7 linked regions of the Macaca mulatta genome follow. The protein of the gene in region 6 interacts with the protein of the main gene of each other region in a pairwise test. Links are inferred from orthologs where the notes say so. Each region holds a gene or a part of one and is shown on either strand. Other genes may lie near its edges.

Region 1 (4,022 bases), on a different chromosome or scaffold from region 6:
TAATAAATCAGATGCCTTATACTCCTCAGTACAGCAATCTTAATTGGCCACTATGAATGAATAAGAATTTGCATGGGAAATGAAATCTCATTCAGTATGATATTGGCTGTGGGTGTGTCATAAATAGCTCTTACAGTTTTGAGATATGTTCCATCAATACTTAGTTTATTGGGTGTTTTTAGCATGAAGGGGTGTTGAATTTTATTAAAGGCCTTTTCTGCATCTGTTGAGATAATCATGTGGTTTTTGTCATTTGTTCTGTTTATGTGATGGATTACATTTATTGATACGTGTATGTTGAACTAGCCTTGCATCTCAGGGATGAAGCCAACTTAATCGTGATGGATAAGCTTTATGATGTGCTGCTGGATTCAGTTTGCCGGTATTTTATTGAGGATTTTCGCATTGATGTTTATCAGGGATATTGGCCTGAAATTTTCTTTTTTTGTTGTGTCTCTGCCAGGTTTTGGTATCAGGATGACGCTGGCCTCATAAAATGAGTTAGGGAGGAATCCCTCTTTTTCTATTGTTTGGAATAGTTTCAGAAGGAATGGTACCGCTCCTCTTTGTACCTCTGGTAGAATTCGGCTGTGAATCCGTCTGGTCCTGGCTTTTTTTGGTTGGTAGGCTATTAATTACTGCCTCAATTTCAGAACTTGTTATTGGTCTATTCAGAGATTCGACTTCTTCCTGGTTTAGTCTTGGGAGGGTGTATGTGTCTAGGAATTTATCCAATTTTTCTAGATTTTCTAGTTTATTCGTGTAGAGGTGTTCATAGTATTCTCTGATGGTAGTTTATATTTCTGTGGGATCAGTGGTGATATCCCCTTTATCATTTTTTATTGTGTCTATTTGAAATCCGTTTGTCATCGGGTTCTCATGTTTTAGAATAACAGTGATATCTTTGGAAAATACCTATTTTAGGAAGCCTAAAAATAAAGTTGGTATTATTTCATTAATGTTTATATATTTATTGTGAATGCTAAGTGATGAAATATTTTTATGTACACTTTTGGAAAGGTTTCGTAGTTTTTATTATATCTTGGAGCCCTTATCTTCTCTAAATCCTAAATCTTATACAGCTTCATTTTATGTTAAATATCAGGGGAATTACTGTAATTAGTTTACAGTTGGTTACACCATATATATTTAGCCAGCATGTAGATATCTGGGACTTGCAGATGTCTGGGACTTACAGGAAAAATTAAGAACCTCTGCACCTCAGAGTTTGAACATCATTGAAAAGAGCACTGAAGAAATTAACAAGGTAAAGATACAATTTCCCTACCACAATCAGATGTGAGGAGAGAAGAAAGTGGTTCAAAGAAGCAATTTAAATGACAGAAAAGAACTGACAGAGCTACAAAAAGGACAAGAAGAAACACCACCTCAACTTTGAGGCTTCTAAATAGTGATAAATAGTTTTAAGGATGTCATTATGTCATCCTGAGCTACTCTGTGTTCATTTATGCTAAATATTCTGTTTATGAGTGAAATGTATAATACATTTTTTAAATCAAAACTACTTAAAATGAATTTAATTGCATAATTATCTCTCAGTTAACATTTTGAAACCAGTCATCTTTGATTCGTTCTGATCTTTTACTCTTGACAAATTCTATCTGTTCTGCTGTTGAAATCCCCCTTCATTTCATCCTTAATATAGAATATCCTAATTCAGGTTCTTTGTTTTATCCCCTCAGTGACAGCAATAGTTCCTTAACCAGTCTTGTTATCTCTACTGAAATCTCTCTCTGTAGCCCATTTTTCCTGATGTTTCCCCATCTCATATATTTCAGATAATATACCAGTATTTACATATTGTATCAATTTTTCATTTTTTTCAGAAACTAAAATATGAAACAAGTACTTATATATATATTTTTTTTCTTTTAGTCTGAGAATAAAGGATTAGAAACTACTAAGAACAATGTAGTTCAGCCAGTTTCAGAAGAGGGAAGAAAATCTAAATCCAAACCAGGTAGGTATAAATATAGTATTCAGTCTATGTAGGTTTTTTTAATCCTATGTAGAAACAAGTGCAAGCCAAGGGTAGTCTTAACAATTGAATATGCTGGCTTTAGTTCTGTGAATAGTGTGTCAAGGTATAGAGCAAGTTGAATTGGTGAGGTAACAATTATCTTAAAGTTTTTTTTTTTTCTTTCTTTCCTATTTAACTTTAGGAAACTGAAAGACCCCTCATTTCTTAATTGTTGAATGAGAACTACTGACTTGCACATTTTAAAATTTATTGGCATAGTGCATCATGTCATTTCTTGTTTGGCTATCTGAAAGTAGTAATTGCCTATGTGTACATTTGTTTTCATTTTTTCCCCTCAGTTTGAACTCAATATAAGCTGGTGATTAGAGTGTTTTTCTGATCTTTATAGATAAGCAGCTTATCCAGTATACTGCCTTTCCACTTCTTGCATTCCTCGATGGGAACCCTGCTTCTTCTGTTGAACAGGCGAGTACAACAGCATCATCAGAAGTTTTGTCCTCTGTAGATAAACCCATAGAAGTTGATGAGCTTCTGGATAGCAGCCTAGACCCAGAACCAACCCAAAGTAAGCTTGTTCGCCTGGAGCCATTGACTGAAGCTGAAGCTAGTGAAGCTACCCTGTTTTATTTATGTGAACTTGCTCCTGCACCTCTGGATAGTGATATGCCACTTTTAGATAGCTAAATCCCCAAGAAGAGGACTTTACATGTATATATTCATCAAAATGATGAACTATTTATTTTGAAGTATCATTTGGTACTTTTTTTGTAAATTGCTTTGTTTTGTTTAATCAGATACTGTGGAATAAAAGCACCTTTTGCTTTTCTCACTAACCACACACTCTTGCAAAGCTTTCAGATGTTACTCAGCTGCATAGTTACACAGATTTAATGCACATTATTGGCATATCTTTAAGTTGGATTCAAATGGCCATTTTTTTCCAATTTTGGTAAATTGGATTTCTTTTTATTACAATATGACCATTAACCTCAGTTAAATTTTTGTTTGTTTTCCTGTTTGATGCTGTCTATTTGCATTGAGTGTAAGTCATTTGAACTAATGGTATAACTCTTAAAGCTTTCTCTGCTCCAGTTATTTTTATTAAATATTTTTCACTTGGCTTATTTTTAAAACTGGGAACATAAAGTGCCTGTATCTTGTAAAACTTCATTTGTTTCTTTTGGTTCAGAGAAGTTCATTTATGTTCAAAGAAGTTTATTCATGTTCAACAGGAAAGACAAAGTATACATGAATGTTCACGGTCTGATAGGGTTCCAGCTCCATATATATAGAAAGATCGGGGGTGGGATGGGATGGAGTCAGCCCCATCCACTTAGTTGGACTAGTTTTAAATAAAGGTTTTCCGGTTTGTGTTTTTTTGAACCATACTGTTTAGTAAAATAAACACAATGAATGTTGAGTACTAGTGTCTGTTATGTGTCTTCTTTAGAGGTGACACTCACATGAAACAATTTTTTCTTCTCATAGGAAGCAGTGGCTTTAAACTGTCTATGGTTCATTACTCTCAATATGAGTCACACCAAGATCTTTGTACCACATCTCGAAAATATATTGTATATTGCAACGAGGGAGATATATCTCTAAATTTAATGTATTTTGAAGTTCTTTGTTTAAAAATTATACTGGGTTGCTTTCTATGTTTCTAATAAAAAAGTGGGAGAAGTATGCCCCTCATTGTCCCAAATAGGGTAAGAGTATTATCACTGGATGTCTGGAGAGAAGATAAGAGAAATAGTAAAATCAGCTCTTTCTTTGAAACAGTCGCCCAAGAGAATTATAGAGACTTAATGCAAGGCCAGGGCACTTTTATCATGTGAAGAATTTCACCTTTGGGCAAAGGACTGAAAGCAGTACAGTTAATATTGTATAGGGCTATTTAATGAGGAGTTTCAGGGCAGGTTTTCCTATTGGCCATATTCTGTCCATGTCTTAGAATTTCTTTTATTATGATGTAATGATTCAAAGTAAAGGCTAGCACAGAAGAATAGGAAACTTCCCT
Region 2 (4,547 bases), on a different chromosome or scaffold from region 6:
TGCCATGCCAGAGACCTCTGGTAGAACTTCTGAGGTTACTGTATGGTAACCCAGGTTCAGAGACATTTAGAGGTAAAACCTTAAACATTGGAAATATCTTTAAAAGTAGGGCTTTCTGTACCAAATACATTCGTTAAAACCTAGGAAACTATAAAACGAAATCCAATATATTCATCTCAATCCCCTTGCCTGCTTCCTAAAAAGGACAGAGGCCAGCAGGTCCTGGTGCTCAACACTTGCTAAGTCGAAACACTCTTACACGGGTCCTCCGATTCTTGACGGGTTCAGAACTTCTGGTTGCATTCCCCATGCAACCCCTCCAACTCTACAGGGAGAATGCTGGAAAAACTGTGTCACTTTGGCTTCCTGTATATTAATATAAGCACTCATTATCCAGCAATAGCAGCTGAAACGTAAATGAAGATGAGAACTCAGTCTACATGACCTAAGATTTCCCACAAGTCCAGATATTTAGGTTACGCAGACTGCATTATTGTCCGATTTCTCCTCTGCATTAATCTGGAAGTCTACAGAACAGATTAGCACACAACAATCTTAACTAAGCTAGTATCCAACTCTGAAGGAAGGCGAAGCTGGTGGAGGGTTTCCAAGACTGCTTATCCTTCTCTGTCCTTCCTCCCATACCCTCCTTATGTCTTTTTTGGTTTTTGTTTGTAAAATTTAAAAATATTTAATTTTTTTAAATGTATTTTTAGTCACAAGAAAATCAAAGAAGCCACCCATTTCAGTCTTAAGCTCTGCCCTTTGCCTAGTCCTAATGGAGGGTTCTTTGGCCATCTATGTATAAAAGATGAGAGAAGCCAAAGAGACTGGAGAACCACCACATCAATGGGAGCTTTTTCATCTAAAGGTCATCTGTCCACACTGTCCAAATGAGGTTTACCCTGTGAAATAAACTTGGCATAAGTGCTACCTGTTGAGAAAAACAGTGTGAAATGTCACGCAAAGGACTGGGGTGCAGCAGGAGGACTCTGAAAAAGTCATACGTGTAAACCAGCAGGTCTTAGAATGTTCTAATATACTATATGCAGTTTCAGAGTAAACAAATGGTTAATGACACATCTTTTGTAACACATGAATCAGCTACTGATTTGCAAGAGTGGGACACACCCTAGTACCTATGACTCTAAAGTACCTGTTTGAAAAGTGGACCTAGATGTCTGAATTGCCAACCTATCCTAAAATTGGAACAGAATTTTATAACTATGTAAGTTGCCATAATTTAAAGTTAAAAAGATCACTGCCTTTCATTATAATGGAAGTTAATTTGAGAACTTCATTAAAACGTTCACACCGATAATCAAAGAACAGTAGCAATGCAAAGTAAGGTACAGCCAATCAATCCTAGGAAGCAAACACAAGAGGCAAGAGAAATGGCAGGTAAAGGAACTGAAGAATAGCAAATTCAAGAATTACAAGCATTACAAAGTTCTAAAGAAAAATGAATAAAATGAGGCTGGTAATGAAAAAATAACACATCTTACCTTAAGAGGCATCCAAATAGCATTCATAGTGTCAGGATATAAAGACAATACTCAGAAATGAGCAAGAAGTCTTAGTAATTCCCTCGGTTACCAAGTATGAGCAGGTAGGAAAATCTTTTGTTTCGATAAGGTATCTGAAAGAGAGGATTTTCATTTAGACTAAAAAATAATCAAGAAAATGCAAATAGTTTAAGCTACATGGGCAGGGATTTTGAAGTACTATTTGCCTCATCGCACTAAAAAAGTATAGAAAATACAGTCCCCTTTAGAAAACGGCAAATGTGTGTGTGTCTCCGTACATATGTGTAGAAACATACGTTATATAAAAAGAGAAATAAATATGTAACACTTACTTTAGATAATGTAAAATTGCTTATCAAACAGCCAAAATCCCAGAGAGAATAAAGTTTCCAGGGTACCTCATAAACACTAAACGTGATTTGTTAACTAACCATCTAAAAAAAGACCCTTGCTACATTTAATTATATTTAGTAAAGTAAAACCTCTCTAATCATCCCGACTGTCCCAAGATTATGCTTAAGTTTCAGAGTCAATTCCACATGAAAAGTAAAACCTATTCTTGACTGAAGTACTAGAAACAAATAAAATACCCTTCTTCCCCAGAGATCGTTAAAAGCAGACCGAGCAACTTAATTTTGAGGGTAGGAGGAAGGTAAATTTGCCTGGAGGCTGGAGGATGGACTAAATGACCTCTAGTAGGATCCTCGTTCAAGTCCTGGGCCTGAATACAATTCCAGCTTAACCAGTTACTGCTTCGCTTAAAATGGAGGCTTGCCCGCGTAGGGACAAAAATAACAGCACCCACTTCGTTAAAAACAAATGTCGAAAAGTACCCTTATTTAAATAAAAATAAAAAATAAACACCTCTGGAGTGGATGTGTTCTTGCTATGCGTTTGTCACTGAGGCTTCGAAGACTTGGCATCACTTTCCTTACCGCTCACCGGATTTTGGGGGAGGAGCGGGGGGCGGCAGTTTGACTCCTGACCCAAGTCTCAGGCAGGCTTCAAAGCCCCACCAGGGCCCCCAACTCCAGAGCCAGAGGGAGCGGAGAGGCGAGAGCCCGAGATCGCACCTCCCCCCACCGCGGACCCCAGTCCCAAACCTACCCCTCACCCCTCCGCAGTGGGGCGCCTCCTTCTGCCCCATTCCCATTGTTAGGGAGGGGAGAGCGCGGGGTGGGCTCAGGGCAGGGGCGCCCGCGGCCGTTGCCCGGCTCGCTTCAGGAGGGGCGGCCCGCGGGATGCGGCTTCCCTTCCTCTCCGCGTCGGTCCGTCCCACCTCGGCTCGGCCTGGCGCCCCGAGCTCCGCTCCGCGCCCCCGGCCGCGGCCCCGGCCCGCCCCCGGGGCAGCCAGGCCCCCCGGCCACTCGGTCGGCAGCCTGCGGCCCAGGCCTACGAGTGGGCGCTGGGCGGGGGTCCCCGTGCCCCACACACGCGTCCCTCCCCGAGCCCCGCCGCTTCCAGGGCCCTCGGCGGCGCCCGCTCCCCGGGCCCCGCCGCCCCCCGCCTCCCAGCCGGGCCGCTCCCTCGAGCTCGTCGTGTCGGGGCCGCCGCCTCTACCTCACCATCACCCCTGTCCACTCGTGCCCCCACCCCCAGGGGCACCAGTGCCAAAGACAGCTCCCCCAGCCCCGGACCTACCTGCACGGTTCAACCAAGCCTAGAAGTGGGGGCGGGGAATCTTCCGCCCTCCTCTGGCGTTCATTGGCCCTTCAGGGGCATATCGTGAGCGCCATTGGCTGAGCGATAGTGTCCGTCAGAGAGATGGGGCGGGACCGAAGGGGGAGAGGGATGCTGGTGCCTCGGCGTCTCTGTCTCTGTGTATCTCGCTGTCTCTGTCTCTGTCTCGGCCCTTGGAAACGAGAGGCTTTTGGATGAGAGGACTAGAAGCGGGCCTGAGGTGGGAGGAATAGGAATAGGAATCCTGCCAGAGCGTCACGCCAGTTGGCCACTCTGAACCCCCTACCTAAGTCCCCTTTAGGTTCTCTTCTCCATCACCCCCAACCCCTGCCCCTCACCCCTCGAGGTTCCTTCATCCAGGAAGCGACGTGATGAAAACTCCAGGCCGGAAGGCCATAGGGAGAGATGTTATATATGTATAGAAAATATACACATATAAATATTTATATATAAATTCAACCAGATATCAGTTCACTAGGGCCTGGAAAGGAAAGGGCACACATCTCACAGACAGGGAAGGACTTGAGATAGAGCCGGCAGAAGAAGGAATCAAAAATCACTCTTAAGAGCTGGCAACAGTGGTTACCTCCTGGGAGGGGAACTGAGTGCCTAGGGAACCAGTGGGCGGAAGACTTACATATCTCGGCGTATCCTTTGTATCCATTGATTTTTGCACCATTCATCAAGATTCCAATTTTTTAAAAATTGATTTAAAGGTTTAAATAAGGTCCCAAAACCAGGGGACAGATAAGATAGTTGGCCAGGAAAATTGGCACAACATGCAGATTTGGGGAGGAATCTTAGCTTTTAATATATTCAGTTCCAGGTAACAGGGTTTTGTAAAACCCAGTGAAGGTGTCCTAGAGGCAACTGAAGTTACAGAACTTGAGAGAGGGTAGACAATCAGGACTAGAGACTATGTGGGGTCCTCTGCCTGAAGATAGTGGTCTGTGACATGCTAAACTCCCTAAGCAGGGTAATAAGACACCCACGGTAAAAGGTAGGAGAACGAAAAAGAAGGTCAGTGAGGTAAAAGAAACAGAATATTAAAGAGGCATGAAAATTAAGGAAGGAAGGGTCTGTGGAAAATAGAACAATAAAACTATGAGAGAGGACGGGCGCGGTGGCTCATGTTTGTAATCACAGCACTTTGGGAGGCCAAGGCAGGTGGATCACCTGAGGTCAGGAGTTCCAGACCAGCCTGGGCAGCATGGTGAAACCCCATCTCTAATAGAAATGCAAAAAAAATTAGCCAAGTGTAGTGGCACACCTCTGTAATCCCAGCTACTGGGAAGGCTGAAGTGGGAGAATTGCTTGAACTGGGAGGTGGAGGCTGCAGTG
Region 3 (4,760 bases), on a different chromosome or scaffold from region 6:
CACGCCTGTAATCCCAGCACTTTGGGGGGCTGAGGCGGGCGTATCATGAGATCAGGAGTTCGAGACCAGCCTGACCAACATGGTGAACTCCAGTCTCTACTAAAAATACAAAAATTAGCCGGGCATGGTGACACGCGCCTGTAATCCCAGCTACTCAGGAGCCTGAGGCAGGAGAATCGCTTGAACTCGGGAGGTGGAGGTTGTGGTAAGCCGAGATTGCGCCACTGCACTCCAGACCGGGAGACAGAGTAAGAGTCTGTCTCAAAGAAAAAAAAAAAAAGAAAAGAAAAACATTTGTGACGACTGATTTAGGCATTTATTCAGTGTCAGTATCATAGCCTGCAGGACAAACCTAGAGAGCATACAGCAGTATTATGTGGGAAGTCTCAACTATTAACAAAATATATAAAACCGCTATCCTACATTGAATCCCCAAATCTTCTAACATCTTGTTTTTTGTTTGTTTGTTTTTGTTTTGTTTGAGACTGAGTCTCGCTCTGTCACCGAGGTTGGAGTGCAGTGGGTGCGATCTTGGCTCACTGCCACCTTGGCTTCCCAGGTTCAGGCGATTCTCCTGCCTCAGCCTCCCGAGTAGCTGGGATCACAGGCGAGTAGCTGGGATCACAGGCGTGTGCCACCACGCCCGGCTAATTTTTTAATGGCCAGGCTGGTCTCGAAATCCTGACCTCAGGTGATCCAACTACCTTGGCCTCCCAAAGTGTTGGGATTACAGGCATGAGTCACCGCGCCCGGCCAATTCCCCTAACATCTTGTAGCCTCGGAGTCAAAGACCTTACTGGTTTTGATAGATACCATCACCACAACAGTCATCAATAAGCACATGAGTATACTAGATCAGGGCTGAGTTATAAAAATTTACCCAAGGAGGTGGTCCCCTAAAAGTAGATTTTTTCTTTCCCCCTGACAGGTCCATCAATAAAGTATCAAGAGATTATCGGCAATATTACAAATCACTGAAGTCTGTGTGGGGTTTTCTAGAAGCTGAGCCAATTATTTACTTAATTGTCTAACGATTAACGACACCCCTTCTGCTTTCTGGGCCTGCGTTTCGTAATCGATGACCTGAGAGGTATAAAGTAATTTCAAAAAAAAAAAAAAAACCACAAAAAACGAAAAACAACAAACCACCCCTCGGAACAGAGGCTTATCATGTGAGCACCCAGACAAGCCAGCTTCAAAATGAGGTGAAAACTACAGTTCCTCTTCCGTTTATCAGAGTTCTAACTGGGACCACCGTGAACCACATCTACTGCCCGAGGGGCAGGGACGGCTGCTTCAGTCCCCGGGCTTCCCGCTCGGTCCCTTCGCACCGCATCTCCCTGAGGCCGCTACTCCCGCCGCGCCCGCCCAGGGAACTGCCCCGCCAGCGTCGTACCCGCAGGTTGGCTCGGAGACCCAGACTCTTGGCTAAGTTCTGCAGGTCACTGTACTTGAGGGAGTCCAGCTCCTCTAGGGAGGGGATGATCATCGCGATTCAAAATCCCGGTGATACTCAGAAGATGGATCACCAAGTCTCGTAAGCGAGGTTCAAATCCCTGGCGCCACTCTTAACTTTGACTAAGCTGAAATTTATAGACAGTTTAAATGAAGAATGCCGCGCTTCCATTGGTTGAAAATGCCTCAAAGGCGGGGTTTCTAACCCTGACCAATAGAAAGGCTGATTTCCCGTCCCAACAGTCGCGCGCTTTTCTCACACTTCACGAATACGCAGGCGCCGAAGGGCCTGTAAGGCCGGTTCAGGTAACGAGTGCGCGGACTGGGACTCCAGTGCTTGGATTGCCCACGATGTCCAATGAGGACGCAGGAGCTGTGCTTGGGGCGGGGCCTGGCGTGTATTCGAAACGACGGCGCCGGCTGAGAGAAGATGGCGTTTCAGCCGCGGCGGCATCGCTCCCCTTGTGCAACGCCGCCCCAGGGTGACTTTTGTGATGGCACTGAGAGGGCGATTGACGAAGCATCTTTTACGACCTCCATGGAGTGGGATACACAGGTGGTGAAGGGGTCCTCGCCGCTCGGCCCCGCAGGGCTGGGGGCTGAGGAGCCGGCCGCCGTCTCGCAGCTGCCGTCTTGGCTGCAGCCTGAGAGGTGCGCTGTTTTCCAGTGCGCACAATGCCACGCCGTGCTCGCCGACTCGGTGCACCTCGCCTGGGACCTGTCGCGGTCCCTTGGGGCCGTGGTCTTCTCCAGTGAGTGCAGTGAGGCGTTCGGGAAAGGCAGAGGCTAGCCCGAGAGGTTGTTCCCGCCTTCTCCACCGGGTGGCAGAGAACCACCTGGGGAAGAAAACGGAATGAAAATTTGGAAGCACATAACTCCTTGGCCTGGGGATGGGGCAGGGAACTGGGGAGTCTCCTGACATTTATGGCGGGGATGAGTCTGTCTAGAGGAGAGATTTTCCATTTCAAGGCCCGCAGAGTATGAGTTCTGACCCGTGTTTGTGTTCCTAGGAGTTACAAATAACGTCGTTTTGGAAGCGCCCTTCCTAGTTGGCATTGAAGGTTCACTCAAAGGCAGGTACGTATTGATAATTACAGATTGGTCTCTAGTCCCTGACTTTATGAGACTGAGGAGCGTGGAACTGACATGTACTTGTTGAGCAAGTCTGTTGACAGCATTTCCTTTTTTTTTGTTGGTTTGATTTTTTTCTTTTTGAGATGGAGCCTCACTCTGTTGCCCAGGCTGGAGTGCGGTGGCGCGATCTCGGCTCACTGCAAGCTCTGCCTCCCAGGTTCACACCATTCTGCCTCAGCCTCCCGAGTAGCTGGGAAGGCATGTGAAGTCATGCCAAATTGTGAATATGAAGAAAAAAATGGGGCCGGGCGCGGTGGCTCACGCTTGTAATCCCAGCACTTTGGGAGGCTGAGGTGGGTGGATCACATGAGGTCAGGAGTTCAAGACCAACCTGACCAACATGGTGAACCCCCGTCTCTACTAAAAATACAAAATTAGCCGGGCATGGTGGCACACACCTGTAATTCCAGCTCTTTGGGAGGCTGAGGCAGGAGAATCACTTGAACCCGGGAGGCAGAGGTTGCAGTGCACTGAGAACACACCATTGCACTCCAGCTTGGGCAGCAAGAGCAAAACTCCATCAAACAAACAAATACATGGAAATTAAAAGTGCTACTCCAGTTATAAGCTGATATGGAGGAAGTTTGAGTGGTATGAGTAGAAGATCAAACCAGCCACAGCATTCCTTTAAACCAAAGCCTAATCCAGAACAAGGCCCTAACTCTCTTCAATTCTGTGAAGGCTGAGAGGTGAGGAAGCTGCAGAAGTTTGAAAGTAGCAAATGTTGGCTAGGTGCAATGGCTCATGCCTGTAGCCCCAGCACTTTGGGAGGCCGAGGTGGGTGGATTGCTTGAACCCAGGAGTTTGAGACCAGCCTGGGCAACATGGTGAAATGCTGTCTCTACAAAATACAAAACAATTTAGCCGGATGTGGTGGTGCACACCTATAGTCCCAGCTGCTTGGGAGGCTGAGAAGGAAGGCTGGCTTGAGCCATAGAGGTCGAGGCTACAGTGGAGCTGTGATTGTGCCACCACACTCCAGCCGGGGTGACAGAGCAAGACTATCTAAAAAAAAAAACAGAGGTTGGTTCTTGAGATTTAAGGAAAGAAACCTTCTCTATAACAAAAGTCCAAAGTGAAACAGCAAGTACTGATGCAGAAGCTGCAGAAAATGAAAGTGGGTACACTAAACAACAGATTTTCAGTGCAGATGAAACAGCCTTCTATTGGAAGAAGATGCCATCTCAGACTTTCATAGGTAGAAAGGACAAGTATTACCTGGCTTGAAAGGAGCTGGTCACAGTGACTCACACGTGTAATCCCAGCACTTTGGGAGACCAAGGTGGGAGGATTGCTTGAGCATAGGAGTTCAAGACCAGCCTGGGCAACATAGCAAGAACCGATCTCTACAAAACATTTAAAAATTAGATGGGCATTATAGTGTGCACCTGTGGTCCAGCTAATTGGAAGGCTGAGGTGGGAGGATCACTTGAGTCTGGGATGTCAAGGCTGTAGTGAGCTGTGATGGTACCACTGTACTCCATCCAAAAAAAAGAAAAAAAAAAGCTTCAAAGGACAGGCTTTCTCTCTTGTTAGGGGCCAATGCAGCTGATGACTTTAAGTTGAAGTCAATGCTCATTTACTGTTACTATCTATAGCTACTATAGATAGTTATTCCTCTGATGGATATGGGCAAAGTAAATTGAAAACCTTCTGGAAACCCAGCTAAATTTTGTATTTTTAGTAGAGACGGAGTTTCACCATGTTGACCAGGCTGTTCTCAAACTCCTGGTCTCAGGTGATCTGCTCGCCTCCCAAAATGCTCAGATTATAAGCGTGAGCCATTGCGCCCGGCCCAGTAAATTAATTTCCACTGACACATTTGTTTATAAGTACTGTGCTTTGTCTGAACTAATTAATTCCTACGTGGAATTTCAAATTAATGACACTTTATTTCACAGTTTGCTTTTTGGTTACCTATATTCACAAGATTACTATATGTGTGGTGTGGGACTTCATTTACCAATAAACCTAATATATTTTGTTATTTGTTCTTTTTTAGTATCCATTGACATGAATATTTCTTTTTAGCTATGTGTTTTTTGTTTTTTTTTTTTCTTTTTTAAGACGGAGTTTTGCTCTTGTCGCCCAGGCTGGAGTGCAATGGCACAATCTCCGCTCACTGCAACCTCCGCCTCCCCGGTTCAAGCGATTCTCCTGCCTCACCCTCC
Region 4 (3,909 bases), on a different chromosome or scaffold from region 6:
CTCCTTACACTGATTCCTACCAAACACAGCCTTCTTCACTTTTTTTTTTTTTAAAGAATTTCGCCCATTTTCCCAGGGGAGATCCTGCCTCTGTCTTGTTATTTCATTACTTCCTTCTCTGTTCTAATATTGACTTTACTTTTTGGAATGTCTCACCTATATTCACCAACAGGTGCTCTAGGAACTGGCAACCTGTTAATCAGGCTCTAAATCCACGTTAAATGAAACTGGTATCTTTTGTGCGTATTCCCTCATGCCACTCCCAGCTCACTGACTCCCAAACCTGTCTCTCATCCTTAATTCTTGAATTCTTAGTCTTGGACTTCTGTTACAGTTCACTTTCATAGTTGTGGGCAATTGCATTGATTAAGAAGCAGTTCCGAAGTTGATTGCCAAAGTATCCTCCAATTCTTAAAAATTAGTTATTCTAAAAACACTATTTATCATGCACACTTTCGACCTTTGGAAAGAACCTTCCTTTCCTTTCCTTGTATTTTCCTTCCTTCCTTCCTTCCTTCCTTCCTTCCTTCCTTCCTTCCTTCCTTCCTTCCTTCCTTCCTTCCTTTCTTCCTTCCCTTCCTTTCTTCCTTCCCTTCCTTCCTTCCTTCCTTCCTTCCTTCCTTCCTTCCTTCCTTCCTTCTTCTTTTTCTTTCTTTTCTTTCTCTCTTTCTCTCTCTCTCTTTCTTTCTCTCTCTCTCTCTCTTTTTCATCTTTCCCTCCTCCCTTCTTCCTTTCCCATTTTCTTTTGCATTGGGCAATGGCTCTAGGGAGGACCTATCTTCAAAGGGAGATTGGTGGTTGGGGGTAGGATAAGAAGCAGGAGTCCCACAGGCTGACTTGCCTTTTTGCAATTGGGCCACTGTCCTGCACACATGTTTCTCTTAGTCATACCACGCTGTATTATGGGGATATGGTAACCCGACTACATTCACAACTTTTCTGGTCTTATGGTTCCTTAACTTTGCTTGGTTTTTCTTCCTGTCTCCAGTGACAGAGAGAAATCGCCCCTGGGATTCCCACAGGTGCATTCCTGTCATCATCTTCATTCACTGCATCTTGAAGCATATGGATGAAAACCAGCAGGCTTATTGCATAGCTTGTGGTCTGCCCTGGGGAGCCAAGGACCAAAAGCCAGAGAGATGAGAATCAAGATAAAAATAGGTGAACTACCACCTACCAAGTAGATGACTACACAGGAATTGATGTGTGGGCAAGTTGAGCCGTGTGTGTGTGTGTGCGTGTCTGTGTACACTGAAGACAAGGGCACAAGGGGTTCCAGACCTCCCTGCATTTGAGCCCCATGCCTTCTCTTAGCATACACACAGCCTCCCAGGTACCAACAGTGCTCTGCTTGGAAAGTAAACATGCCATAGCAATCCTGGCACCTCTGTGAAGTGACTTAGATGCTCACGTGCACCACCTACAGCGCTACCTGAGTGATGAATGTCTCTGGGATGTGAGTGTCAGCTGAGCATGTCTGTTGGGAAATGGGCCCCTCCCAAGAGCCTGAACCTGAATACTTGTTATAAAAAGGTTCTCTGGCTGGACACTGCTCAATCCACTGCCTAGCAGGTGGCCCATTCCAGCCTGAGAACGTAGTGAGTCTTTCAGTGGAGCCAGGGTCCGGTAAGTCTCCTCGCAGGGTCTGGGGGAGAGGGTGGGATGAGTTGAGGGCACAGCGGAGGAGAAAACAGAACACAGGCAGCAGATAGATGCGGAAGGGGTGTCCTACAAGGCACCTAAGCTTCCAGTGAGCCAACCTCTTAAGGTACTAATGAGGACATGAAGGCAACACAGGAGGTGGCTTTTGCAAGGGTACACAGCAAGTCCACAGAAGAACTGTGACTAGAACCCAGGGCTTTCAGCTCCCTGGATGGGGTTATTTATATTGGCACAACTCTCCTTTCCCACATGGTTGTGGGGCGTGAGAGGCATAGGCAAGAAAGAATGATCAGGACCTGCTTCTGGTATGTGGATTATTTAGATCCAGCAGGTGGGACCGCGTGTTGGACTTGGGTGTTTTCTAAATGATGGGGTGTAGTAACTAGGAAGATACAAATCGAAGGTCGGTAGGAAAGTAAAACGAGGAAGAGGAAAAAAGCCAAGTGGAGATTTTGGACTGGATCATACAGATAAGCTGCCGCAGTGTGCTGTTTATTTTCCACTGTGGAAAACTTGAGCAGTCTTCTTCTAGTCAGAGAAAATGGAAATGCACTGATTCATTGCATAGATTGTGTCCTGCTCTGAGCATGTTTAACTCACTGGAAGCCCCTGCTTGGATTTGCTTTTCTATGTCCCGCTCTTTCTGGGTACTTTTCCCCCCTTGTCCCAGGCCGGGCTGACTTGTACACTAAACCGAATCTCAAAAGCCCAGACAGAGTTCCACTGGTGGAAAGAAAAAGCCGGCTCGCCTTTAAAAGGCTGCCTTTCTTCCAGGTTCGTCGTGAGGAGCTCCGCGATGTCCTCTCAACAGAGCGCCGCTTCCGCCAAAGGCTTTTCCAAGGGGTCATCCCAGGGCCCCGCTCCGTGTCCCGCCCCTGCGCCCACCCCGGCGCCCGCCTCCTCCTCCTCTTGCTGCGGCGGCGGCTGCTGCGGCTCCGGCGGCGGCTGCTGCGGCGACTCGGGCTGCTGCGGCTCCAGCTCCACCAGTTGCTGCTGCTTCCCAAGGAGACGCCGCCGGCAGCGGAGTAGTGGCTGCTGCTGCTGCGGGGGCGGCAGCCAGAGGTCCCAGCGCTCCAACAACCAGAGCTCAGGCTGCTGCTCTGGCTGCTGAGAGACCCGCAGCCCCCAGCGCTGCGCTAGAGAAACCCGTCCAACCCAGAGCGAGCCCGCCCCGCTGCGGCTCCCACGCGGGGCTGGGCCTCGCAGTTTGCCCCGTAAAGCGAATTGCACTTTGATGTTCAGAAACCCACTTTGTTCTCAGCCACGCAAAACTCCCTGACTCCGATGTGATTTTTCTCCCCAGGGATTCACGAACCATGCGTGGAACACTGGACCCTACTGTCTGCACGGGTTTGCACACAGCAGGTGCTCAGTAAATGCCTAATGATTTGATTGTCTTTTGAAGATGTCATAATAAAGCTTCTACCTCCTTAGAACACCTTTTCTTATTTGTTCTTCATTCGTTTCTCCGCCCAGGTAGAAAGACTTGAAATGTTTGTGAAAGGCAGAATAGTATAATTCATGCCTGAACAAAAAGATGACTTTCTGATTGTTAATTATGATAGCAGCGATCAGATATCGACTGTTTCGAGGATTTTAATGACTTTACGTGACAAAGCTCTTGAGTATTCTTAGGACTTTATGTGGCACAATCTGATTCTCATAATGACTCGTGTAGGAGAGTGCTGTTATACCCTTTTTACAAGAGAAACTGAGGTTAAGTATAATTTGTTCAAAGTCACCCAGCTGACGCCTGATAAAGAAGACAGGACATCTGATTCCAAGGCTTCGTTGCTCTGCAGGGTCCTCACCTGGGCTTCCCAAGCCTTACCACCGAGGTGCTCCTACTGACCACCGGGTTCAGGCAGCTGTGTGGCAAAAGTGTGTTTTGGCAACTCCTGGGGGCTTTGGAATCAAGCCAGCTGTCTTTTTTTATTTTTTAGTTTTACGTTTTATTTTATTTTTTATTTTTGGCGTGGAAGATTATTGACCTACTGCTTTGCTTGCTGGGGAGGAAATTTTTCCTAAGATGTGCCTTCCAGGAAAGCTGGAAACTACCCTCTCCAGGTCTCATTTGTGCAGCTGAAGCAGGACCAAGAGCCACGGGTTTCTGGGAGTCTCTGTGGTGCAACATGTGTGCTCAGAAACGTGGGGATCTCATTCTTTAGAGATGGTGGCTGTGGCAGCGGCAATGGGTGGGTCATTTTGCATAGGTCAGAAACCTATCCCTGTGGGCAGAGGTTTTAT
Region 5 (2,910 bases), on a different chromosome or scaffold from region 6:
AGACAATTCTGGGCTTCAATATCAGATTTGTGACCCTGGGCTTTACCTCTCTTTTTGCATCTGTAACGTGGAAATAGTCTTCAGAGGAACAGGAAGAACTAAATGAGATAACATGTACAGTTCTTACTACACAAAAAGTTCATAGTACTTTTTTTTTTTTTTTGAGATGGAGTCTCACTCTGTCGGCCAGGCTGGAGTGCAGTGGCACAATCTCGACTCACTGCAACCTCCACCTCCTAGGTTCACGCAGTTCTCAGCCTCAACCTCCTGAGTAGCTGGAATTACAGGCACATACCACCACATCTGGCTAATTTTTTGCATTTTCAGTGGAGACAGGGTTTCACCATATTGGCCAGACTGGTCTTGAACTCCTGGCCTCATGTGATTCACCTGCCTTGGCTTCCCAAAGTGTTGTGATTACAGGCGTGAGCCACCACGCTCAGCCCAATAGTAACTTATTCTAATCCCAGCTCTCCCACTGACTTGCTATGGCACCGCTGTTCCTTAAGTATCTCATCTGTCTAATGGGATCAGTAATCTGTGTTCACCAAACAGAACAAAGGGCAAGACTGAATTTTAAAATTCCCATGCAAAGGCTTTGAAAGATACAGTCCTCCACTTCCCCATACCCAGGCCTGAGAGTTATGCATTGAGTTTCTTGTACACTGCTTCTCTACCCGAGCTCATATACTCCCAATCTTCCCCCTACCCTCAGGAGTGGGTTTTGCTACCAGGCAGGTGGCCAACATGACCAAGCCTACCACGATCATCGAAAAGAATGGGGACATTCTCACCCTAAAAACACACAGCACCTTCAAGAACACAGAGATCAACTTCAAGCTGGGGGTGGAGTTTGATGAGACAACAGCAGATGACAGGAAGGTCAAGGTAAGTCAGGGAAACAGGGGTTGGGAATGAAGAGTGCTGAGACTCTAAAAGAGAATAGGCTGGTAGTCTTGGCTCCCTGGTATTGCACCCTGAGGGGCAGACTATCATGGGGAATTTAAATGAAACAAGGTTCATAAAGCCTGTGTAGTGCTAGAATGCCACTGCTGCTAAATACATGTCAGTTCTGTCCTCTTGTTTTCTTCCCTCCCTTCTTGGGATTCATCTATTGTCTGCCTCAGAATGGGCAGCACAGAGCCAGGATGTTCTTCTGACCTCAGTATCTACTCCAGCTCCAGCTGGGTGACCCTGTGCAAGGTATGCAGTAGCTCTAGGTTTCTTTCCCCTTCCATAGATGGCGGAGTTATGTGGCCATGGCTGTGACCTGAAGTGCTTTAGGAATGATGCCCAGAAGTCAGGGCCCTCCACTGAGTGAGGTCATTGTAGCCTCCAGCAGCAAAAAAGGCAGCCAGGAACAAGAAGCCACCTACTCAGATGCCGCTTCAACTTCTAATTCTCAGACATGGCCAATGACCCTGACAAACTATTTCCGATGTTGCCAGCGGACAGGCAGGAAGAGCTATGTTCCATGATAGGGCATTCACCTTGTCATGAATGTGTTTGCAGTGTCTTTCCACCAAACCTTAGCCCCCTCTCCCAGGGTTCTGTCACCCTGCAGTGACTGTCTTGGCAGCTTGCCTCAGCCTTCCAGGCCAGGCACGGGAGTGAGAGAACTTAGGGGCTTTGATCTCTATAGGGTGTCCCTATAGCAGTGTTCTATCATGACACTATCATTCAGCCCCGTCAGCTATTTCCTCTTCCTCATAGCTGTCCCCAGAAAGCACAGCTGGGGATGGTGCCCAAAGATGGCAGTCTACTTGGGATAAAGGTGGCTGCCCCACCACATGCCCCTGCCTCCTTGGACTTGCCTACTTTCTCAAGGGGCAAGAACCCCAATTAAACACAATAGCCCTCTGGAATGCCTAGGGCAAAAATATCTACTCTGAGTAGGCAAAAAAAAAAAAAAAAAAAAAAAAAAAAACCTAGGGGAATGAGAACAAGGAGTAAGGTAAGGATAAAAAAGAGCACACTAAGAGACAGGCCCCATACTCCTTATCACCCAAACAATACACAGAACCTTCTCAGATTCTCCTACTGAACCACCTTGCTCATCAGGATCCCTTAGCCTGGCCTTGTGGCCCCCAAACTCCTAGGAAAGAGAGACCTGGAAGAGCTGCCAAATGAGAACCAGCTGATGTATGTATGGCAGCACCCAGAGCTAAGGAACACTTCAAGGGCATCCAGTCACAGGACTCTGTGGTTGCTGCCCTCTTGTCAGCTAAAGAGATTACATGATATGGACCAAGAAAAGGTGTAGGAATACAGGCCAGGAAGTCTAATTATCCAATACTTCCTATTGCTAAGGGTCTTTTAGACATTATGTAGACTAACCACAAGGCTGGAAAAAGATTCTCAGGACTATTCCTCCTCCTCAGTCAGTCTTTCCCAGGGGTAGACTAGTAAATCCCACCTGTATCTGAGGGGACTAGGCTGCGGGCGTCACCTAGAGTACAGATAACTGTCTATCTTGAAGGCTTGTGGTGCCTCTCAGAGCCAGGCTCTCTGGCTCCACCATACTGCCTGCCTCTCCCTCCTTGCCTAGTATCTGAAGGCCTCTTCCCTAGCAAGGCAGTAGTGGAGCAGAGGCTGGAGGTGAACTAGATGTCCTGCGGGGTTAGCTGGGAGGTGGATTGCCTGAGCTCTCATCCTCACACCATCACTAGTTTGGGTCAAAAGCTGTGTCCTCTGGGGCCCCAGTGTCCAGACCCCACCCTGCCAATCAATCCTGACTAAGATCACAGCTCAGGCCTATACTCTCTTTCCGCAGTCCATTGTGACACTGGATGGAGGGAAACTCATTCACCTGCAGAAATGGGATGGGCAAGAGACGACACTTGTGCGGGAGCTAATTGATGGAAAACTCATACTGGTAAGATGGGCAACTTTGGAGCCATATCTGATTGG
Region 6 (4,735 bases):
GCCCCAGGGTGGCCAGGAGTGACATGGCTGTAGCACAGGTGCAGGGCGCTGTAGCACAGGTGCAGGGCACTGATGGCAACAGGAGCGGCTGCACCAGCAGCTGGGACGAGGCTCTGGAGGATGCTCAGCTGGATGAAGACAGGCACCAAGGCGAAAGTGGAAGACCTACACGTGTGAGACAAGAGTGGGTGGGGTCGTGGGGTCAGGAAAGCCTCATCCACCGGCCAAAATCATGGGGAAGCCAAGCCACACCCCCAGGCACGTCCACGGGGCTCCTCCCTCCCCCTTCCAACCACAGTTTATAACTAAGCCTCAGCCTCTCCGAATTCTAAATTTGCCCTTTCTTTACCCAAATCTGAGCCCCACCCACTCCCAAGGGAATTTCTTTAGGTCCTAAGGTAGGACCGATGCCCCACCCTTTCCCCCAATACAGAAACCTAAGGGTCTCCCAGGGGAATTACCTTAGGCCCCTCCCATCCACCTCAGAATATTCCGCTTCATGGAAAAACTCAATTCCAGGGACATTTTCTTCCAGCCACGCCCCTTGCCCTAAAATATTTCCTTTTGGCCCCACTGCCTTCCTAGCTTCCATCCCAAACCAGTGCCCAGGGGAACTGCCCCAGGCCCCAGCCCTTCAGCAATGTTATCCACTCAAATCCCACTCCTCGCTTTGCCACTGTCCCTCCAAGCCCCGCCCCTCATTGTTTATTTAGCTCCGCCCCTCTCCGATTCCCCAGAGGCCCCGCCTCTTTGTCCCATCGAAGCCCCACCCCTCAGCTAAAGGTTGGCTTAGCCCCGCCCCTTCTCACAATGGGCTCACGAAATCCCACCCATCGTGACGACAGTGGTTCTAGCCCCACCCACTTAGAGGGCTGCCTCTAAGCCCCGCCTTCTCCCCTGTCAATCTAAGCCAGTCCCCGCCTCAGCAGGTGCCTGGTTTAAAAGGAAGGAAGTTGGGCTGTGAGCCAGAGCAACGTGGAGCAGGGAGGGTGGAGGAGGGTAGAGGGGGCAGGCAGAGAACTGCTACCCGAACGCCAGCCGTCCACACGCGGCTATGCGCCAAGGGCCAAAGCGCATGCTACGTCTTCCGAGCTGTCCAATTGCTTTACACCTCCGCCTTCTTGGGGATCAGTGCGCATGCGCGGACACTCAGGGCCCGCGCTCATTCATTACGGGGCACTGGTAGGCTACTGCGCAGGAACAACCAAGCACGCACAGAATCGTTTAGAAAAAGACCACACCCTCCCTTGGAGTGCGCAGGCGCAGCCACACGCCGGCTGACAAACATCGAGTCTCTAGAACTCTCCCACCCGGCTCCGGGCCCAGTGCGCATGCGCAGCCGCGCGCCTTCGGCCCACCGTACCTCTTCTGCGCCTGCGCGACCGTGATTCCCCGCTCGCAGCTCCCCTCCCCCCAGGGCTCCCTAAAGAGGGCCACGAGCTGCGAAAGGGCGGGAAAGGCGGTTGGAGAGGGACAAGTAAGCGGTTACTCACTCCATGGCTGCAGAAAGGAGAGGCGGCGGCGGCCTCGGCTGAAGAAAGAAGGTGGGAGCGGAGAGCGCAGGCGTGGTAAGCGCGGAGTCGGGCTGGGGGCACAAAGGGGTCGAGGCTACAGAGCCATGGCTGGGGCTACGCAGGCGGAGGCGGAGAACGCTGTAGTTAGAAGAGACCGTGATCTGAGGACGGGGAATGAGGCGGCCCCGGGGACTGGGGACAGAAATACTTCGGGTGGCGCAGCATGGCCCGCCCGGATCCTTCCGCGCCCCGCCCTCGCGGGGCCCCAACTGGGTGGCAGCCCGGTCCCCTCCTCCTGGGGATCAGGGGATCCGACCTCTTCCTTCCCACTCCTAGGGTCCAGGCCCCTCCTCCCTTTTGAGCCAGGGATCCGGCCCTCTCGTAGCTCCGGGGTCTGGTTTCCTCCTAAACTCTGGTTTCTTTCTTTTTCTGCCTGTGAGGTCTGGGCCTGCTTCCTCCTGTGATTTTGTGGATCCAGTCTCATTCTCTTCCCGGAGACCTGCACCATTTAATTTCTGTTTCCCTTTCCCTGCTTGCAGAATTTCCTGCCAGCCACACTTTTCATGTTTTCATCCCCCAACTGCTGACCCCGAGAAACCCTCGTGGGTTAGAGTCCAGCGTGAGTCACAGCACTCTCCCAAACACAGACCTACCAGGATGGCCTCGGGCAAATAGCTTAAGTTCTCTTGCTTCATTTCCCTATCCGTAAAATAAGAAAAATCAGCTCTCCTGGTGGGTTTATGAAACTCAAGACGGTGTCTGGCAAGCCTTATGCACAGAGTTCAACTCATACGTTCCTGTTCAATTTTTTTTTTTTTTTTTTTTTTGGTGAGATGACGTCTCTCGGTCTCTGTCGCCCAGGCTGGAGTGCAGTGGCGCGATCTCGGCTCACTGCAAACTCCGCCGAGTTCACGCCATTCTCCTGCCTCAGCCTCCAGAGTAGCTAGGATTACAGGCGCCCGCCACCACGCCCGGCTAATTTTTTGTATTTTTAGTAGAGACGAGGTTTCACCTTGTTAGCCAGGATGGTCTCGATCTCCTGACTTCATGATCGGCCCGCCTCGGCCTCCCAAAGTGCTGGGCTTACAGGCGTGAGCCACCGCGCCCGGCCTCAACATATTTTATTGGGGCCCAGCCTCACTTCTTCTTTCCCCCTTACAAGAGCCGCAGACGTTGGACTGTCTAACTCTTGCTGTCGTTCTTCTGTCTCCCTCATTCCTCTGAAGTGTCTGTTTCCGGCCATCCTCATCTTCCGTTCCAAATGATGGGTGCCCAGGCCCCATCCCCTGGCAGGGATTCAGACATCGAGGCCCCAGCTGCGTCCTTTTCTCCATCCCTTGCCCTTGGCTTCCTTTCAAACAGTCCTTAGCTTCCACGGGATAGGAACTATCTCCCAACCCTGCCAAAAATGGAAGATCTCCGTTTCCCTTTAGTCAGAGGGTAGCCATCTTGCCCCTTCTCATGCACAGGGCCCTCCACCAGCCGAGGTGGATGTCAGTCTTTTCTCTCTTGCAGAAACCCACTTTGTCCCATCCACGTCAGGACATCCCAGCTGGAGTTCAGCCTTCATCCCTTCTGTGGCAGTTAGGAGACTGAATCAAGGTCCAGAGAAGGTGGAGGAATCCTGGTATTGAGCGTTTTACACAAGCTTCTTTCTCCTCCCTTACTTGTCGCGGGCAGGAAGCCCTTCTTGGGATCTGACCACCTTCCCTTAGAGCACTTATTGTCCACTTTGCCAGCTTTTGAGCACCTGCCCTATATTTCCTTGAGCTTGTAGGGGTTGTGTTATCACTGAGACAGTATACAGAGTAGCAGCTAAGAGCATAAACTGAGCTTGTCCCATCCGTGGGCCTGCATGTGGCCCAGAATAGCTTTGAATGCAGCCTAATACAAATTCGTAAACTTTCCTAAACCATACGAATTTTTTGCGAGTGTTTTTTTTTTTTCCTTTTGAGCTCATCAACTATCATTAGTGTTATTTTATGTGTGGCCTAAGACAATTCTTGCGATGTAGCCCCAGGAAGCCAAATTTTATACATCCTTGGCATAGACTCTGGAGCCAGATTTATGAGTTCAAAACCTGACTGCACCCCTCTTATTAGCTGTGTGACCGTAGCCATTTCCCTTCCCGGTGCCTCGGTTTCCCCTGTGGTACAAGGTGGTGTTAAGAGTACCTGCCTCTGGGCCAGGCACGGTGGCTTACGCCTGTAATCCCACCACCCTGGGAGGCTGAAGTGGGCAGATTGCTTGAGCTCAGGAATTCGAGACCAGCCTGGGCAACATGGTGAAACCCCGTCTCTACAGAAAATACAAAAAAATAGCTGGGTGTGGTGGTTTGTGCCTGTGGTCCCAGCTACTTGTGAGGCTAAGGCAGGAGGATCACTTGAACCCTGGGGTGGGGCAGAGGTTGCAGTAAGCGGAGATTGTGCCACCACACTCCAGCCTGGGTGACAGAGTGAGACCCTGTCTCAAAAAAAAAAAAAAAACAAAAAAAACAAAACTGCCTGCCTCATAGGGCTGATTAAATGAGTTAATCCGCGTCGAGCAGTTAGACTAGTGCCTGGGACACAGTAGGTGCTGCATAAAAGTGGTTACTGTTACTGCTATAATTAAGGTGGATGTGTTCTCATTCCATTGCTGTGCAGTAAGTCCAACTTCCTTCCACTTCTCAGTATAGGTTTTTGAGCAAAAGCAGATGGAATTAAGGGTAGACTGTTGGACAGACTGCCAGTGGTAAGGACGCAGAGACGTGCCCTACCCCAGCCCCCCACCGGCAGAATCTTCTCCTAAGAAGACCTTCTAGCTTGTACTTGGGAACTGGGTTTGGTTTGGTTTGGTTTTGAGACAGAGTCCTGCTCTGTCGCTCAGGCTGGAGTACAGTATGATCTCGGCTCATTACAACCTCCGCTTTCTGGATTCAAGCAATTCTCCTGCTTTAGCCTCCCGAGTAGCTGGGATTACAGGCACCCGTCACCCCGCCCGGCTAATTTTTGTATTTTTAGTAGAGACGGGGTTTTGCCAGTTTGGCCAAGCTGGTCTTGAACTCCTGACTTCAGGTGTCCCCCTCCCCTTCCTCGGCCTCCCAAAGTGCTGGGATTTACAGGCGTGAGCCACCACGCCCGGCCTTAAGCAAGACCTACCTGGTTTTTTTGAGTTTTTTTTGTTTGTTTGTTTTGTTTGTTTGTTTGTTTTGAGACAGAGTCTCGCTTTGTTGCCCAGGC
Region 7 (4,531 bases), about 5.4 Mb from region 6:
TTCAGCAAAGACCTGTGAGGCTACAGGCTGACAGCCAGGGCAGGGAAGGAGGGAGGGGCGCCAGCACCTGCAGAGCGCCTACTGTGTGCAGGTGCTTTTACGTGCTCTCCCTCGGTGAGTCCTCAGCCACCCAGGGCCCAGAAACAGAGGCCTGCCGAGGGAGGAGCCTGGCCTGTGCCCGGCAGTCGGCAGTGTGAGGTCTGGAGTGTTTGAGCTTCTAAGAGTGAAATGACTCCTTTTCCTTCCTGGCCCTCAGGGGCCTCTCGAGGTCAGCCTCTCCAAAACCCCTACCTCAGCTCTGTCTGCACTGAGAAATCTCCCCGGTGGATGTCTGCAAAGTCTGTGCCCCAAGCCTGGGAGAGCTATCTGGGGAGGGGGAGAGGAGGCCCAGCACAATATGCCCTCGAGTTAGGGTTTGCGACTCCGCCTCCCTGGGACCCAGATTGGGTCAGATGCCTGTGCTTGGAGGGGACAAGGTTGACTGCTTAGCGGGCGCGGCGCACAGGGCTGCCAGGCCTGGCCCCTCTCCGGGAAGGTCGGTCGAGAGCTGAGATGGGCAGCCCTGTCCCTTCCCCCAGACCCATGTGGTTTTTTCCACCGTTTGTTAATAAAGCCTGGAACCGCTGTGTGCCTGTCTCATCTTTGATGCCTTTCCCAGTCTGTCTCCGGACACCCCCCGCCCATTTCTGTCTGGCTCCTCCTTTCCCCAGTTAACGTTAATTGTTGGGGGGCGGTGCTGGACTGGGAGAAGGGGAGGCTGTGAGCTCAGGGGCAGCCCTGGGCCCTGCCAGCCCTTCTGAGTCACGCTCCCTATTACCGAATTTTTTCCACCTCACAGCTGCCTGGTGCGCAGGGAGTGGGGTGTGTGTGAGTGTGTGGAGGAGTGTGTGGAGCCCCTCCCCTTCCCAAGCCTTGACCCTTGTGCTGCTTATCCCCCGACCCCAGCTCCCTCTGGGACGGTGAAGTTCAAACTCTCCTCTCTCAGCTGGGGACTGCGGGCTTCACACTCAGATCCACCAGTGACGGGGAGGACTGGAGGGACGGGTCTTTCAGTCTCTTTTCCTAACCCAGGAAGTCCCTCCTGGTGTCTGGCTGCAAATCTTCTTGCTGCTGCACCAAGAGCCCCTGGGTCTGCCCAAGCCCCAACCCTAGCAGCAGTCTCAGTGGATTTCCCTGACCAGACAAGAGAGAAGACAGGTGGGCGCCCTCTCCTGCTCGTGCTGCACCCCCACGCACACGTCCCCCAACCCCTGTCCTGCGCCTTCCTGCAGCCAGCCACCCCCTGAGCATCTCTGAGCACAGCACTTCGCTGGCTGCAGCACGCCTGGCCGTCGTCTCCGTCTCCCGTGTGGGTGTCTGCAGTTGGACACCCTCCCTCCCGCCCGCCACCCCCCTCCCCCCCATGCCTGAGCCGCCGGCCAGCCCCCTCCCGCCCCCCCGTCCCCTGCCGCCTCCCTGCAGCCTCTTTCTTTCTCCTGGCAAAGTGTCCAGCCCTGCCTGCTTCTCCTCGGGCCTGGGCGCCTCCGGCAGGCGCTTCCCTCCCTCCCTCTCTCCCCAGCTGCCTCCTCCTCTTCTCTCCCGCTCTCCTTCCCCTTTCACCCCATCCCCTGCCCTGGCTGCAACCATGAGGGTCTTGGCCTGCCTCCTTGGTGAGTGATCCATTCTCCTTGGGGACTCAGGGGGCCTAGGCCCCCACCTCTGACCCCTTAGCTTATCCAGTTTAGAGATTCAAACTTCCGGGACTGGTCCCTGGTGCTCCTGCACACCCTGACATCCCTTCTAAGGATCCCCGCCTGATCTGCTCAGCCTTCTGCGAGCCCAGAAGCCCAAGGGACCTGCCCCCTCCCCGCCCCCCAGCCCTGACCCTGCAGGGGATGTCCCGGACACCTGACCTTTAGCCAAGCCCATGTGAGAGTACCAAAGCCGGGGTCCCCAGCCCTGACTTCAGGGACCCGGCATCGGCAGCCCCACCCGCCTCAGAGACCTGTGCCTCAGCCCGCCCCTCTGTCCAGAGTCCTGCCTCCCAGCAGCGGGGTTTCTGGTTCAGAGGTATGAGGACTCTGTGTGTGTGCGTGTGTGCCTGTGTGCGCACGCGCGTGTGTGAGGACTCTGTGTGCGTGTGTGCGTGTGTGTGCATGCGCGCGTGTGTGCACGCGTGTGTGCGTGTGTGTGCGCGTATGCGTGTGTGTGCGTATGCGTGTGTGTGCACGCGCGTGTGTGAGGACTGTGTGTGCGCGCGCGTGTGTGTGCGTGCGCGTGTGTGTGCACGTGCGTATGTGAGGACTGTGTGTGTGCGCGCACGCGTGTGTGCGCGTGCGTGCATGTGTGCGTGTGCGCACGTGTGTGAGGACTCTGTGTGTGCGTGTGTGTGTGCGTGTGTGTGTGCGTGTGTGTGTGCACGTGTGTGTGTGTGTGTGTGTTGGGGTATTCAAGATGAGGGGTCTGCGCTGGAGAAAGGGCCACTCCCGCCCTGCCCCTCACTCTGCCCCACCCTCTGCCCTCCCTTCCAGCGGCACTGGTGGGGATCCAGGCTGTTGGTAAGTGCCCAGACTCCTCCCATCTCCCCCCCTCCACCCAGCGCCAGGACTCCCCCTTCTGCCCGTCCAGGCCTGGCCTCAACCCCACTGGGTCCCTGGCCCACCCGAATTCCACTGTGACCTTGGCCCCTGCTCTGTGCTGGGATCCCCCAGGTGTCTGGCCGCATCTCTCTGAGCACCCAGGAGTCTGGACCCAGGGGCCAGTGAGCAGGGCCACTGGCCTACCGACAGTACCCGCAGGATGGCCCCCTGCCCCCAGTCACCCTGGCCCTGGGACCCCAAGGATGCCCCTCCCCAGTCACAGTCATTCCTCCAACCCTCAGAGCGCCTGCGCCTGGCCGATGGCCCCCATGGGTGCGCTGGCCGCCTGGAGGTCTGGCACGGCGGGCGCTGGGGCACCGTGTGTGATGATGGCTGGGACCTGCGTGACGCCGCTGTGGCCTGCCGGCAGCTGGGCTGCGGAGGGGCGCTGGCCGCCCCCGGAGGCGCCTTCTTCGGGGAGGGGGCAGGGCCCGTGTGGCTCAGCGAGCTGGCTTGCCGGGGCAACGAAGGGCAGCTGGGCCTCTGCCACCACCGGGGCTGGAAGGCCCACATCTGCTCCCACGAGGAGGACGCGGGCGTCGTCTGTGCAGGTGAGGACACCCTGGCTGCTCCTTCACGGGGATTTCCTTTGGAGATGTCCCAGGAATCCCAAGTCCTTAGCCCCAGAAAGTCTGAGTGTGCAGCAGTCCAGAGACACTCATCCTCCCATCCCCTCCAAAGCCAGGAGTCTCACTTCCTCTTCCAGGGACCCAAGTGACCTGGATTCCCCTACTCTCCTCATAGCTTATGTCCCCGCCTCCCCCGCCGCAGGTCAGCGTGTGGCTAACTCTAGGGACGATTCAACGTCTCCCCTGGATGGGGCTCCCTGGCCAGGGCTGTCGGTGGAGCTGAGCCCCAGCACGGAGGAGCCCCCGGTGACACACGGTGAGCCCAGGGGACTGCCCTGCCCACCCCCACGCAGTGCACACTCCTGCTCCCGCCAAGGGGAGAGGGACCTCTGCACTAAGAACCCCCAGGGGACACACTGCCCGCCTCTCCGCCCCACCCCGTCTCCTTCATAGCCCAGGGAATCCTCCATCACTTCAGACCCTCAGAGACAGAGGCCTGGCCCCCAGATGGGAGGAAGGATGAGGGGCTCAGCTCCTGACCCCTGGCTGTCTCCCCTCCCAGGCCCCCGCCTCGCTGGGAACCCCCAGAATGCCTCCCGAAAGAAGAGCCCCCGGCCCAAGCAGGCCAAGTCCACCCGGGCCCCTCTGCTGACAACTGGAGCCCCCCGCCAAGGTAAGCTCCCTGCAGGCTCCCCCGACCCCCAGCCTGGATGCTGTGAGGCCCAGGGCCCAGATAAGCAGGACCCGTGGGTGCCCTCTCCTTAGCCGGGGCCCTGGAAGGATCCCAGTGTTCACCGTGTCCCTGCCCCGGAGATTTAGACGGTCAGGCCTGGTGTCCCCTTTTCTTCCTGCCCTGTCAGGAGGCCCAGGTGTCCTGGCCCACTCAGGTTGTGGACTCACCTCTTAACGGGCTGCTGGCGGGCAGATCTCAGGCCACCGCTCCCTGAGGCCTGTTTCCCCGGGGTGGAAATCGAGGAAGGGGTGTTTGAATCATTTCTCACTGGCCACACCCTCCCCTCCCTGCTCACCCCACAGAGCGGCTGCGCCTGGTGTCTGGTCCCCACAGGTGCGCTGGCCGCCTGGAGGTCTGGCACGGCGGGCGCTGGGGCACCGTGTGTGATGATGGCTGGGACCTGCGTGACGCCGCTGTGGCCTGCCGGGAACTGGGCTGTGGGGGGGCGCTGGCGGCCCCCGGGGGTGCCAGATTCGGGCCTGGTGCAGGGCCCGTGTGGATGGACGACGTGGGCTGTGGAGGAGGAGAACAGGCCCTCCGAGACTGCCCCCGAAGCCCCTGGGGCCGGAGCAACTGTGACCACAGCGAGGATGCCGGGCTGGTCTGCACCG

Evidence for each region.
Region 1: the proteins of NUP62 (region 6) and HSF2 interact in binary tests that used the Homo sapiens proteins (3 or more experiments, as listed by UniProt). The link is inferred for Macaca mulatta from reciprocal best matches to the Homo sapiens genes NUP62 and HSF2.
Region 2: the proteins of NUP62 (region 6) and KANSL1 interact in binary tests that used the Homo sapiens proteins (3 or more experiments, as listed by UniProt). The two-hybrid records come from large-scale screens. The link is inferred for Macaca mulatta from reciprocal best matches to the Homo sapiens genes NUP62 and KANSL1.
Region 3: the proteins of NUP62 (region 6) and OIP5 interact in binary tests that used the Homo sapiens proteins (3 or more experiments, as listed by UniProt). The two-hybrid records come from large-scale screens. The link is inferred for Macaca mulatta from reciprocal best matches to the Homo sapiens genes NUP62 and OIP5.
Region 4: the proteins of NUP62 (region 6) and CRCT1 interact in binary tests that used the Homo sapiens proteins (3 or more experiments, as listed by UniProt). The two-hybrid records come from large-scale screens. The link is inferred for Macaca mulatta from reciprocal best matches to the Homo sapiens genes NUP62 and CRCT1.
Region 5: the proteins of NUP62 (region 6) and FABP3 interact in binary tests that used the Homo sapiens proteins (3 or more experiments, as listed by UniProt). The two-hybrid records come from large-scale screens. The link is inferred for Macaca mulatta from reciprocal best matches to the Homo sapiens genes NUP62 and FABP3.
Region 7: the proteins of NUP62 (region 6) and SSC5D interact in binary tests that used the Homo sapiens proteins (3 or more experiments, as listed by UniProt). The two-hybrid records come from large-scale screens. The link is inferred for Macaca mulatta from reciprocal best matches to the Homo sapiens genes NUP62 and SSC5D.

The regions. Positions count from the first base shown.
Region 1 is NC_133409.1:27,446,813-27,450,834, forward strand, and holds the end of HSF2 (heat shock factor protein 2), read left to right. Parts: intron 1-1,896; coding exon 1,897-1,981; intron 1,982-2,390; coding exon 2,391-2,686; 3' UTR 2,687-3,425; downstream 3,426-4,022. UniProt on the Homo sapiens protein: DNA-binding protein that specifically binds heat shock promoter elements (HSE) and activates transcription. In higher eukaryotes, HSF is unable to bind to the HSE unless the cells are heat shocked.
Region 2 is NC_133421.1:71,124,442-71,128,988, forward strand, and holds the start of KANSL1 (KAT8 regulatory NSL complex subunit 1), read right to left. Parts: upstream 3,201-4,547; 5' UTR 3,168-3,200; intron 2,817-3,167; exon of another isoform or gene 2,391-2,816; intron 1,640-2,390; 5' UTR 1,529-1,639; coding exon of another isoform or gene 1,506-1,528; intron 1-1,505. UniProt on the Homo sapiens protein: Non-catalytic component of the NSL histone acetyltransferase complex, a multiprotein complex that mediates histone H4 acetylation at 'Lys-5'- and 'Lys-8' (H4K5ac and H4K8ac) at transcription start sites and promotes transcription initiation.
Region 3 is NC_133412.1:18,677,279-18,682,038, reverse strand, and holds the start of OIP5 (protein Mis18-beta), read left to right. Parts: upstream 1-1,838; 5' UTR 1,839-1,885; coding exon 1,886-2,207; exon of another isoform or gene 2,208-2,291; intron 2,292-2,465; coding exon 2,466-2,532; intron 2,533-4,760. Other genes in the region: NUSAP1 (nucleolar and spindle-associated protein 1), read right to left, coding at 1,397-1,489. UniProt on the Homo sapiens protein: Required for recruitment of CENPA to centromeres and normal chromosome segregation during mitosis.
Region 4 is NC_133406.1:114,515,913-114,519,821, reverse strand, and holds CRCT1 (cysteine-rich C-terminal protein 1), read left to right. Parts: upstream 1-1,465; 5' UTR 1,466-1,626; intron 1,627-2,436; 5' UTR 2,437-2,458; coding exon 2,459-2,773; 3' UTR 2,774-3,098; downstream 3,099-3,909.
Region 5 is NC_133406.1:209,493,158-209,496,067, forward strand, and holds part of FABP3 (fatty acid-binding protein, heart), read left to right. Parts: intron 1-715; coding exon 716-888; intron 889-2,773; coding exon 2,774-2,875; intron 2,876-2,910. UniProt on the Homo sapiens protein: FABPs are thought to play a role in the intracellular transport of long-chain fatty acids and their acyl-CoA esters.
Region 6 is NC_133424.1:62,390,042-62,394,776, reverse strand, and holds the start of NUP62 (nuclear pore glycoprotein p62), read left to right. Parts: upstream 1-1,491; 5' UTR 1,492-1,568; exon of another isoform or gene 1,569-1,690; intron 1,691-3,029; exon of another isoform or gene 3,030-3,141; intron 3,142-3,886; exon of another isoform or gene 3,887-4,031; intron 4,032-4,735. Other genes in the region: ATF5 (cyclic AMP-dependent transcription factor ATF-5), read right to left, coding at 1-25. UniProt on the Homo sapiens protein: Essential component of the nuclear pore complex. The N-terminal is probably involved in nucleocytoplasmic transport.
Region 7 is NC_133424.1:67,832,087-67,836,617, forward strand, and holds the start of SSC5D (soluble scavenger receptor cysteine-rich domain-containing protein SSC5D), read left to right. Parts: upstream 1-1,468; 5' UTR 1,469-1,624; coding exon 1,625-1,649; intron 1,650-1,857; exon of another isoform or gene 1,858-2,049; intron 2,050-2,510; coding exon 2,511-2,537; intron 2,538-2,860; coding exon 2,861-3,169; intron 3,170-3,389; coding exon 3,390-3,503; intron 3,504-3,749; coding exon 3,750-3,860; intron 3,861-4,222; coding exon 4,223-4,531. Other genes in the region: NAT14 (putative N-acetyltransferase 14), read left to right, coding at 1-18.